Callithrix jacchus: one gene and its partners. The protein of the gene in region 2 purifies or fractionates together with the protein of the main gene of each other region. This does not show direct contact. Links are inferred from orthologs where the notes say so. Each region holds a gene or a part of one and is shown on either strand. Other genes may lie near its edges.

Region 1 (3,657 bases), on a different chromosome or scaffold from region 2:
TAGTTGAGAATATTTTAAAAATGACTTCTAACTAAGTGAAACGTTTCTTTTTTCTTTTAGTCATATTTTTTTTCTTCACTTTTCACTTGTCTCTCTTTATCATTTATCACATGGGCACCTTGAAATTAAGTTATATTTGTAAGCTGGAGATGTCTGCTATTTCAGCTGTTACTTTCTTTGCCTGGTTCCTCTCATCTTTCATTTTGGACCAAGTGAAAAATTTCAGAATTTTATCTATCACCTCTTAACTTTCTCTCAAATTTGACTTTAAAAATGTACATGCATATGTTTGCATGTGTAACATTTATCAAGGATCAGAATACAGTGACTAGAACTCTGAAGAGGGCTGGAAGCAGCAGGTGCCTTCCAGCAGCCCACTTTCTGTGGACTCCATAAAGTGGTTCATAACTACCTGTAGGTGATGTCTACTGTTCCCTTACGTATGTTGCGGGATCCAAATACCATGGTTTCCCTCCCTTGCCTCCTTCTCTCTTTTTTCCTGCTGCTGTTGTTTCATTTCTTTCACTTCTGTCAATTTACTTTTATTTTCTCCTTATTAGCTTTCTAGCTTTCCTCTTTTATCTTTCTTGCAGAGGTACCGTTTGTAGTTCATCTGATTGTTTGTTTTTGCTAGTTTATGCTGCTTTCGTTCAAAATTATCTTTTTTTCTCATTTGTCAAATGTAGTTTTTATTTTTGTCATATCGTTTATTATTAAATTAGTATTCTCACTAACCTTTCTTCGAATGACCTTTTTTTTTTTTTTTGCATTTTAGTAAATTATCTAAAATTGTTCTTTGCTTTACTTTTTGGTATTCCTGAAACAGCATATAGAAATATGATCTTAATAGGTGGTAGCCTCTCAAACATTGGTGTCTTCTTTTGAGTCCTTTTGTCCTTCTTTAAATAATTTTGAAAAAAAAAAAAAAAAAACACTTTTTATTTTGAAAAAGTTTAGATATACATACAAGAAAAAATTGTGTGGGCCGGGTGCGGTGGCTCACGCCTGTAATCCCAGCACTTTGGGAGGCCGAGGCGGGTGGATCACGAGATCAAGAGATTGAGACCATCCCGGTCAACATGGTGAAACCCCGTCTCTACTAAAAATACAAAAAATTAGCTGGGCATGGTGGCGCATGCCTGTAATCCCAGCTACTCGGGAGGCTGAGGCAGGAGAATTGCCTGAACCCAGGAGGCGGAGGTTGCGGTGAGCCGAGATCACGCCATTGCACTCCAGCCTGGGTAATGAACGAAACTCCGTCTCAAAAACAAAAAAGAAAAAATAGTGTAATAGAGCTTCATAGATTCATCATCCAGACCAAATTGTCAGTATTTTACCATACTTTTAAGTGAAACTTTGATTCCCTAAACTTGAGTCTCATGTATTTTGTCGTTCCTTTTCATATTTTTTGAGAAATACAATGGAAATCTCAATAGGAGAACAGCAAGTTTCCAGTCATTTGTGGGGGTAGGGATTTGTTTTTTAATTGTTCTTTTTTTTTTTTTTAAGCTCTAGCCAAGAGCTTAGAAGATGCTCTGAGGCAAACTGCAAGTGTCACTCTGCAGGCTATTGCAGCTCAGAATGCTGCAGTACAGGCTGTCAATGCACACTCCAACATTTTGAAAGCCGCCATGGACAATTCTGAGGTGAGCCCAATGATTAGAAGCTTTTTGGCTGTCATGACTTGTGGGACAAAAAGAAAAAAAAAGGGGGTTGGAGAGAAGTATAATATTTAATAGACTGCTTTCTTCCCTATGGTATGGACTTTCACTAGGCGAAACAGTCTAGAATAATTATCTTTTTTTGTTATTGTTGTTTTGAGATGGAGTCTTGCTCTGTTGCCCAGGTAGGAGTACAGTGATGCGATCTCAGCACACTGCAGCCTCTACCTCCCAGGTTCAAGCAATTCTCTGCCTCAGCCCCCTGAGTAACTGGGATTACAGGTGCCTGCCACCACACCCAGCTAATTTTTCTATTTTTAGTAGAGACAGTGTTTGCCATTTTGGCCAGATTGGACTCACTGACCTCAAGTGACTTGACTACCTTGGCCTTCCAAAGTGTTGGGATTGTAGGTGTGAGCCACTGTGCCTGGCCTTAGGATAATTATCTTTAAAAAACAAACTAAAAGGCTGAGTGTGGTGGCTCATGCCTATAATCCCAGCACTTTGGGAGGCCAAGGTGGGTGGATCATGAGGTCAGGAGATCTAGACCTTCCTGGCCAACATTATGAAACCCCATCTCTACTAAAAATATAAAAATTAGCTAGGCATGGTGGTGCATGCCTATAATCCCAGCTACTTGGGAGGCTGAGGCAGGAGAATAGCTTGAACCAGGGAGTAGGAGGTTGCAGTGAGCTGAGATCATGCCACTGCACTCCAGCCTGGTGACAGAGTGATACTCTGTCTCAAAAACAAAAAACGAAACAAAAAAAAACTGAAAAGCCTTTAAATTTTTGGAACAAATTTTCTACATTGTGCTTTATTTTATCTTACAATACTGATACAAGAATTAGTTCATATTTACTGTCATATTTTAATAGTGCCTAAACATTTTTGTTGTTTTCTTTAAAATTGCTGTTTCCATAGATGAACTTTTTAAGGTACTTGTCAGTTGACATGCAGTTTTAAGAAATAATTTGGAGAGATCCTGTGTTCCCCGAAACACCAGCTATTTGAAATGTTTATGATTATTTAATTTATGCAGAGCACTTCAAAGAATGAAATAATACTGATTTTTCAGATGTAATACTGGGACTCAATAAATTATTTTTTAATTACATTAAGTTATTCAGTATGTATGAATGTATCTCTATTCCAAGTCACTTAAGGAGTAATATAAAAGTAAAAACATAAAACATAAATATTAAGGATCAGGATCATTCATGATCAGTAAAGTTGCTTTGCCATCATAACTGTAGTTTTTAAAAAAAATTTAAACACACTTTACATAGTTTTAGTTATATGTATATATATTGCAAAAGAGTTTAAATTAGACCTCTGATGTTAGTAGTAAAAAAATACAACATTTGGGGCCGGGCGCGGTGGCTCAAGCCTGTAATCCCAGCACTTTGGGAGGCCAACATGGGTGGATCACGAGGTCAAGAGATCGAGACCATCCTGGTCAACATGGTGAAACCCCGTCTCTACTACAGATACAAAAAATTAGCTGGGCATGGTGGCGCGTGCCTGTAATCCCAGCTACTTGGGAGGCTGAGGCAGGAGAATTGCCTGAACCCAGGAGGTGGAGGTTGCGGTGAGCCAAGATAGCGCCATTGCACTCCAGCCTGGGTAACAAGAGCGAAACTCCGTCTCAAAAAAAAAAAAAAAAAAAAAAATACAACATTTGAAAACTTAAGGAAAATTCCATTTTATTCAAAGTTCAAGAAAAGTGTTTAAATATCAGAGTTCAGTCAGCAAAATGGAAACCACACAGGAAATTTAATTTGCTGGTTACAGATATGGGAAGGCTAGAAGTTGCATGATGTCAGGGTATTGGGTTCAAACCCAAGTAGACCAGTATCTCTCAGAAGGACACAGATTAGAAGCTTTAAATGCCGTGGTGCTACTTGGGTATAAGGCTACATGAGGGGGTATTTCTGCTTCCCGGTGCACATAATGTGTAGCACATGTCAATTAGACAGTGTAAAATCTATTGCAA
Region 2 (2,856 bases):
CTGCAAAGCCATACTATTTTATAAGGATTAAATGAGTTAAAATTCCCTGGTACATAAAAAGAAAATATAAAAGTACTATTATTCTAGATATTTTTAGGAAATAATTTTTTACATCTGACTCTTTAGAGCATCCTGGTTTTATACGATATAAACCGTAAGAAAATTGGAAAAGAACACAACATATAATCCTTAGAGTTTACGTAAAAAATCCTATCAATACCTTTGTGAAAATTACCTTCCCTTTCCCACAAAAGAATAAAAGAGTATTATTAAAATGTTCTTGTCTCAAAATGGTCCCTCAACTGTTTCCTTTATCAAATGTAAGTCACAGCTGCTCTAACGAAATGTTTTTTAATTCAATTACGTCTCTGTATAAAGAATGTTCTTAAATGTCAAATCTGCACCAAGATTTAATTACCTTAAAACCATCCATATTTTCTAAGAGCACACTTGCTAAGAACATTTTTCCCCATTATCAGTTTCACCATATATCTAGCAAGGGAATCTTGGAGTATGTAACACAAATTACTTGCCTTAGAAAAGACACTGTTTATTCTACAGGTGTAAAATTCAGTGAATGACTTTCAGAAAAATCAAAAGAAAGTAAATGTAACATCCATACAGTTGTTTAAGCTTTATTTTTATATGCATGCATGTTTCAAGGAAACAAAAATTTCAAGACATAGAATACAATATATCAAATGAAATAATTCAGAATTATTTTAATGTGTACACAAGTAACAATATAAAGCACATATATAAGATAAATTGTATAATTTGTTTTGAGGTTTCAAAAAACAGTAATTTGGTTTTAAAATTCTGATACCAATATCTAATATAACATTCAAGTAAAACATATGTCAAAAATTAGACTTAATGAGACTAACATATAACTCTATGACAGTCTGTCTTTACCACGATCTTCAAAATAGTGCTGTTCAATTCTCCTACAGAAAGCAAGGAGGTTACTATAGTTTTTCACCTTTTCAGAAAGTTCATCATTTGTTAATTGTGTGGTAAGAATGGTGTACAGATGGCCAAATACCAGTGCATCAAGTTCAGTAGGCCTAAAAGTAGAAATAAGAGTAACATGAGTAAGTAGCAATTAACTCTTACGTTAAAAAATCCAGTTGGCCCTCTTCACCTACAGGTCCCATACTTGCAGGTTCAACCAACGTCAGATCAAAAATACTTTAAAAGATTAGAGAGAACAATACAGGACAAATGTGATGGTTCATGCCTGTAATCCCAGCACTTTGGGAGGCTCAGATGGGTAGACTGTTGAAGCTCAGGAGTTCACAATCAACCTGAACAATGTGGTGAAACCTCATATTTACAAAAATTAGCCAGGCATGGTAGTGCATGCCTATAGTCCTTGCTACTTGGGAGGCTGAGGTGGGAGGATGGCTTAAGATCACACTACCGCATAGCATTTAGAGATTGTGTGTATCTACTGATGACTTAAAATATACAGGAGGATATAGGTAGATTATATGCAAACACTGCACAATTTTATTTTTTCTCATAACATTAAATTTACATAAGCAGTTATGCCATTTTATATAACAGACTTGAACTCTGCAAATTTTAGTATCTGTGGGGGTCCCAGAAACAATGTCTTGTGGATATTTAAAAGACCTCTGTGGATATATTTTTTTAAATCGTTTCATTCATCAATTTAAAAGAAAAAAGCCACACAAGAAACAAAGTTTCTGTTATATAAAAAATATGTATATATGATTTGCTAGTTGTGTGACTTGCTTTCTTTAGTAACAATATTTGTGTTAAAATAATATAGATGTAATGATCATATTCATTTAGTTCATTACTTTAGTCACTAAATAAACATAACAGATCTCCAACGTGCCAGAAACTATACCAGATGCTAGACACAAAAACAAGAAAAATACTCTCATGGACATGAAACATAAATTATAAAGTTGTTTTAATAAACACAATTTATTGACCAGGTGTGGCGGCTCATGCCTGTAATCCCAGAACTTTGGGAGGCTGAGGCAGGCGGATCACCTGAAGTCAGGAGACCAGCCTGACCAACATGGAGAAACCCCATCTCTTCTAAAAAATAAAAAATTAACCAGGCATGGTGGTGCATGCCTGTAATCCCAGCTACTCAGGAGGTTGAGGCAGGAGATGACTTAAACCTGGGAGGCAGAGTCTGTGGCAAGCTAAGATCAAGCCATTGCACTCCAGCCTGGGCAACAAGAACAAAATCCATCTCAAAAAAAAATTATTAAGTATTTTAATAGATGTATAAACAAAGAGCTGTCAAAGCACAAAAGATTTCACTGTGGTGATAGGATCAAAAAAAGATACCCAATTATAAATCAACAACACAATATAACTTCAATTTTACCACATTTAAAGTGACTTAGATTTCTGAAGGAGACAAAATCATAAGGATGGCTTCAACATAATAATTTCTAGGGTTTTTTTTTCTCTTTAATTATATACTATATACAACAAAATAAAATTTATCCCACTACTAATGATCTACAAGTAGGGCATCACCAATCTACATTATATTAAAATAATTACTAATGCAATATTACTAAAACAAGAAAGTGCCATCATAATTATGAGCTAATTAATACTCTGAGTCCCATTGTGATAAAGTTTTTGAGAAAATGTGCTAGCCTACATAAATGTAAAAATATGCTGTAGAAATCTGGTTTGGTAGAATAAATTTGGGGGTTGGTAAAAATCCAAAGTTGAATCCCAATCCCAATACTATCACTTATGAACTATGTGGCCTTGATCCCTACTGATAAATAATCTCCTAGAGATCCACGGTTTTAAATACCATCTTGATGCCACTGACTCCTAAATATTTATCTC
Region 3 (3,657 bases), on a different chromosome or scaffold from region 2:
GCATCCTGGTGCAGAGACCCCTTCAGGATAAGAGGTGGCTTGGATCATCTGGCTTTCCAAACAGCTTGAATCAAGGGTGTGTTTCTTGTCTGCCCTTGCGGACGCTCCTTTGTGGGGACGCATCTGTGGCGCTGCCTTCAAGGGACACGTTCACTCATGGGGGTCGTTCCTTTCTGGGTGACATCGTGTCTTCATGAACTCTGGGGTGCCACTGACAGGCCTTTTCTTCTCTTTCTTTTGCAGAATCCACAATGCCCAGGTCAGGGAGCAGTGGTGGCCAGCAGCCCTCAGGGACGAAGGAGGGTGTCAAGAGGTGAGCCCAAGAGCCCACTTGCTCCTGGCACTGTGCTCTGCCTAAAAGCCTCTTTCCTCACTGGGTACCCCTCTCCTTGCCTGAAGCCCTAGAGGGTTTGTCTCACATAATTAATCTCAGTTGCACTGAAGGACAACCCTATGGTATAGGTGTCACTAGTCCTAGTTTAAAGATGAAGAAACAACAAAAGGGCTATATGGGAGTTGATTGCTAATGTTCCTCATGCCCAGTAGTTTGAGAGGCCAGGGCAGGAAGATTGTTTAAGGCCAGGAGTTTGAGAACAGCCTGGACAACATAGCAAGACCCGGTCTCTAAAAGATAAAAAATTGGCTGGGTGTGGTGGTGTGTGCCTGTCTAGTCCCAGTTACTCGGGAGGCTGAGGTGGAAGGATCACTTGAGCCCAGGAAGTCGAGGCTTCAGGGATCTATGATTGCACCACTGAACTCCAGCCTGGGTGACCCTGTCTCTGGAAAAAAAAAAAAGAATCATTTAAAAAATCTAGGACTAAACAGTTGAGAGCCTGGACCTTCTGCATGTGTGTGTGCATGCAGGCGTGTTTTTAGAGAGATGAGGAAGTGGAGCCCTCCCAGTTCTAACTGTGGTTGTCCAGATGAACTGGTTCCAAGATGTTGGTGACTTTCTGTCAGGACAGGCCACAACTCCAAGAGCTGGCCATGCCCCTGAAATGGTACCTGCTTCCTGTCACCAGAGAAGTTTTAGCAAAGTGATTAAGTCACAGAGGCCCCAGTGGAGCACAGGGTGGCATCTTGATCCTGCAACTTACTAGTTAGATGAACTTGAAAAATCACTGCATCTAAGAAGGGCTAAGAAGAGTACTTCTTTAATTGGGATCTGTCATGGTTAAATATGTTAATGTATATCATGCACCTGGGCACAGTGCCTGGCCTACAGAGTTCTCATTGGATGCTCATAGTAGTTGTTACTGATTGACCTCTTCAGGATTCCTGAGGAAATTGGCCTCAGTATGGTCAGAGGACCCAGTAGGTCAGCTTAGGGGGCCCAGTGTCAGCTACAGTTGGGCGTTTGCCCTCTAGTAGTTCAGCCATGTTGGGTCTGTTGCATAGCCATGGGTGAAGACACACACTGTAAGAATTTACCCTCCCTAGGAAGTCTCAGCAAAAATAACTGACCTGGCTGGGTGTGGTAGCTCAATCCTATAATCCCAGTGAATTTAGGAGACTATGAAGGAGGATTTCTTGAACTCAGGAGTTTGAGCCCAGCCTGGGCAACGAAGTGAGACCCTGTCTTGACAAAAAAAAAAAAAAAATTAAAAACATTAACTGGGGGTAGTAACACAAGCCTGTAGTCCCGGATGCTCAGGAGGCTGAGGTAGGAGTATGGCTTGAGCCTGGGAGTTGGAGTTTACAATGAGTTATGATTGCATCACTGCACTCTGGCCTGGGCCACATTATGAGACCCAAAACCAAAAGAAAAGGAAAAGCTAACCACAACCTGAACCCTGCTTTTAAACATTTTAAACATGATAAAGTAATACATTCTAATGAAAGATTTAGAAAATATATAAAGTGAAAAAATCATCCCTAGACTCATCATCTCAACACAACTATTGTTAATATTTTGAAGTATTTCAAGTTCTTTTCCACCTTGCCCCCCACCAGCCCCCCCTGTTTAGGGTTATTTTTGAAAGTCATAGATAATTTCATATCTTGCTATTTTCACTTAGTATTATAATTTTTCATTAGTTTCATCTGCTTTATAAATTGTTTTATTGCTAAAAGCATCATTTATTGGTTCTCAGTTTTTAGATTCAATCTATAGACAAATCAAAGACTATATTTTCTAGTGGTGATGTCATAGCTCATTATATGATCACACCATATTTTCTGTAGCTTGACCTTGATTTGAGGACATTTAGGTTGGTTGCATTTTTTTCACTATAATAAATAATACTGTTAGAGCCTCTCAGCGCTAATAACTTTTTTCCTCTCTATAGGATTATTTTACTAGGCAGAATGCCCAGAAATATGTCAAAGGGTAGGAACAAGAGTTAAATGTTCCAAACAGAGGACTATTACTATCTCAAATCTTCGAGCTCTGGAGCGGAGGCAGTCCTTGGATTGAACCCCTCCCTGAGACCCTCACTGGGCATGGGGCTGCCTAACGTGGCCAGGGCTCCTGTTCCTGAGCTGTGTTGTCCTGGCTCAGTGTCATTGTCATTGTCTCCCCTTGTCTGGGGAGCTGTCATTGATGCCTGAGCTCAGGCGGGGAATGATGGGGTGTGCGGTTCCACAGCACTCTCTCCTTTCCTGTCTGGCTACTGGCTGGTCTCAGTGCTTCCCTGGCGGCTGAAGTGAGTGCGCAGACTTTGTCTTGACTATGGGACTGCCTGTCACGCCATCTGCATCTATTTCTCCTCATCTTTCTTCTGCACAGGTATGAACAGGAACATGCTGCTGTCCAGGATAAACTCTTCCAGGTGGCACAGAAGGAAAGAGAGGCTGCCACCAAGCACTCCAAGGTATCCCTGCCCACAGGTGAAAGCAGCATCAGTCATGAGGAGCAGAAGTCAGTCCGGTTGGTGAGTGCATATTTTCCTCGAACTGGCCTCCCAAGCTGGGCAGCACCCTGGGAAAGAGGGGGCAGGCCTTGGCACCTGGTTTGTCTGATGCCCTGCTGGCTCAGGCTGCCCCTAGGATATGCTCAGCTGTACCTCTGTGGAAAAGGGTCTTTTGGGAGCCAGGAACTTGGGTTCTTCTAGCCCTGGCTCTGTCAGTGATTTGCTTTGGTGCCAGTGTCATGTTTTTGCAATCTCCGTGGCCTAAGGTCTACACGGTAAGGGACTAGAACACTTGACAACCTCATTCAGCTCTGAAACTTCACAGGTGTCAGGGCTGCAGTGGTATGTGTGTCAGGAGGGTGTGAGGGGAGAGGACTGGAGGCCTGGAGCCATGTAATATATGAGAGGGAGGGTATAATCTTTAGAGTTAGGCAGGCTGGGCGCAAATCCTGGACACACTGTCTGTGAGCCTTGCTCAAAGATCATGATGTTCACCCACAGGAGTGCCCAGGGAATCGGAGGAGATAGTATTTGTCCAGGACTTAGCACATGCCAGCAGATCATGGAAGTGCACTATTGTTATTACTACTGTCACTAATACATTTAAGTGATGGGCGGCTATTAGGATCTTTTTGCTTAAGTGCAGCATTTATTTTGCAACATGAGAAGTCTAGAAGTGCCCCCAGGGTTGACTAATTCAGTGGTTCACTGGCATCATCAGGGACCTGGTGCTTCTCTTCCTGCCCTCTGCCATCCACAGTGTGCGAGTGCATCCTAGGCAGGCTTTCCCCATGGTTAACGAAGG

The links.
Region 1: the proteins of MTX2 (region 2) and IMMT purify together in Homo sapiens (co-immunoprecipitation; 5 studies listed by BioGRID and IntAct, counting the BioPlex papers as one, with this or other methods). This does not show direct contact. The link is inferred for Callithrix jacchus from reciprocal best matches to the Homo sapiens genes MTX2 and IMMT.
Region 3: the proteins of MTX2 (region 2) and CHCHD6 purify together in Homo sapiens (co-immunoprecipitation; 3 studies listed by BioGRID and IntAct, counting the BioPlex papers as one, with this or other methods). This does not show direct contact. The link is inferred for Callithrix jacchus from reciprocal best matches to the Homo sapiens genes MTX2 and CHCHD6.

What each region holds. Positions count from the first base shown.
Region 1 is NC_133515.1:26,833,160-26,836,816, forward strand, and holds part of IMMT (MICOS complex subunit MIC60), read left to right. Parts: intron 1-1,509; coding exon 1,510-1,646; intron 1,647-3,657. UniProt on the Homo sapiens protein: Component of the MICOS complex, a large protein complex of the mitochondrial inner membrane that plays crucial roles in the maintenance of crista junctions, inner membrane architecture, and formation of contact sites to the outer membrane.
Region 2 is NC_133507.1:53,072,423-53,075,278, forward strand, and holds the end of MTX2 (metaxin-2), read right to left. Parts: intron 1,068-2,856; coding exon 896-1,067; 3' UTR 620-895; downstream 1-619. UniProt on the Homo sapiens protein: Involved in transport of proteins into the mitochondrion.
Region 3 is NC_133516.1:76,623,092-76,626,748, reverse strand, and holds part of CHCHD6 (MICOS complex subunit MIC25), read left to right. Parts: intron 1-243; coding exon 244-313; intron 314-2,728; coding exon 2,729-2,873; intron 2,874-3,657. UniProt on the Homo sapiens protein: Component of the MICOS complex, a large protein complex of the mitochondrial inner membrane that plays crucial roles in the maintenance of crista junctions, inner membrane architecture, and formation of contact sites to the outer membrane.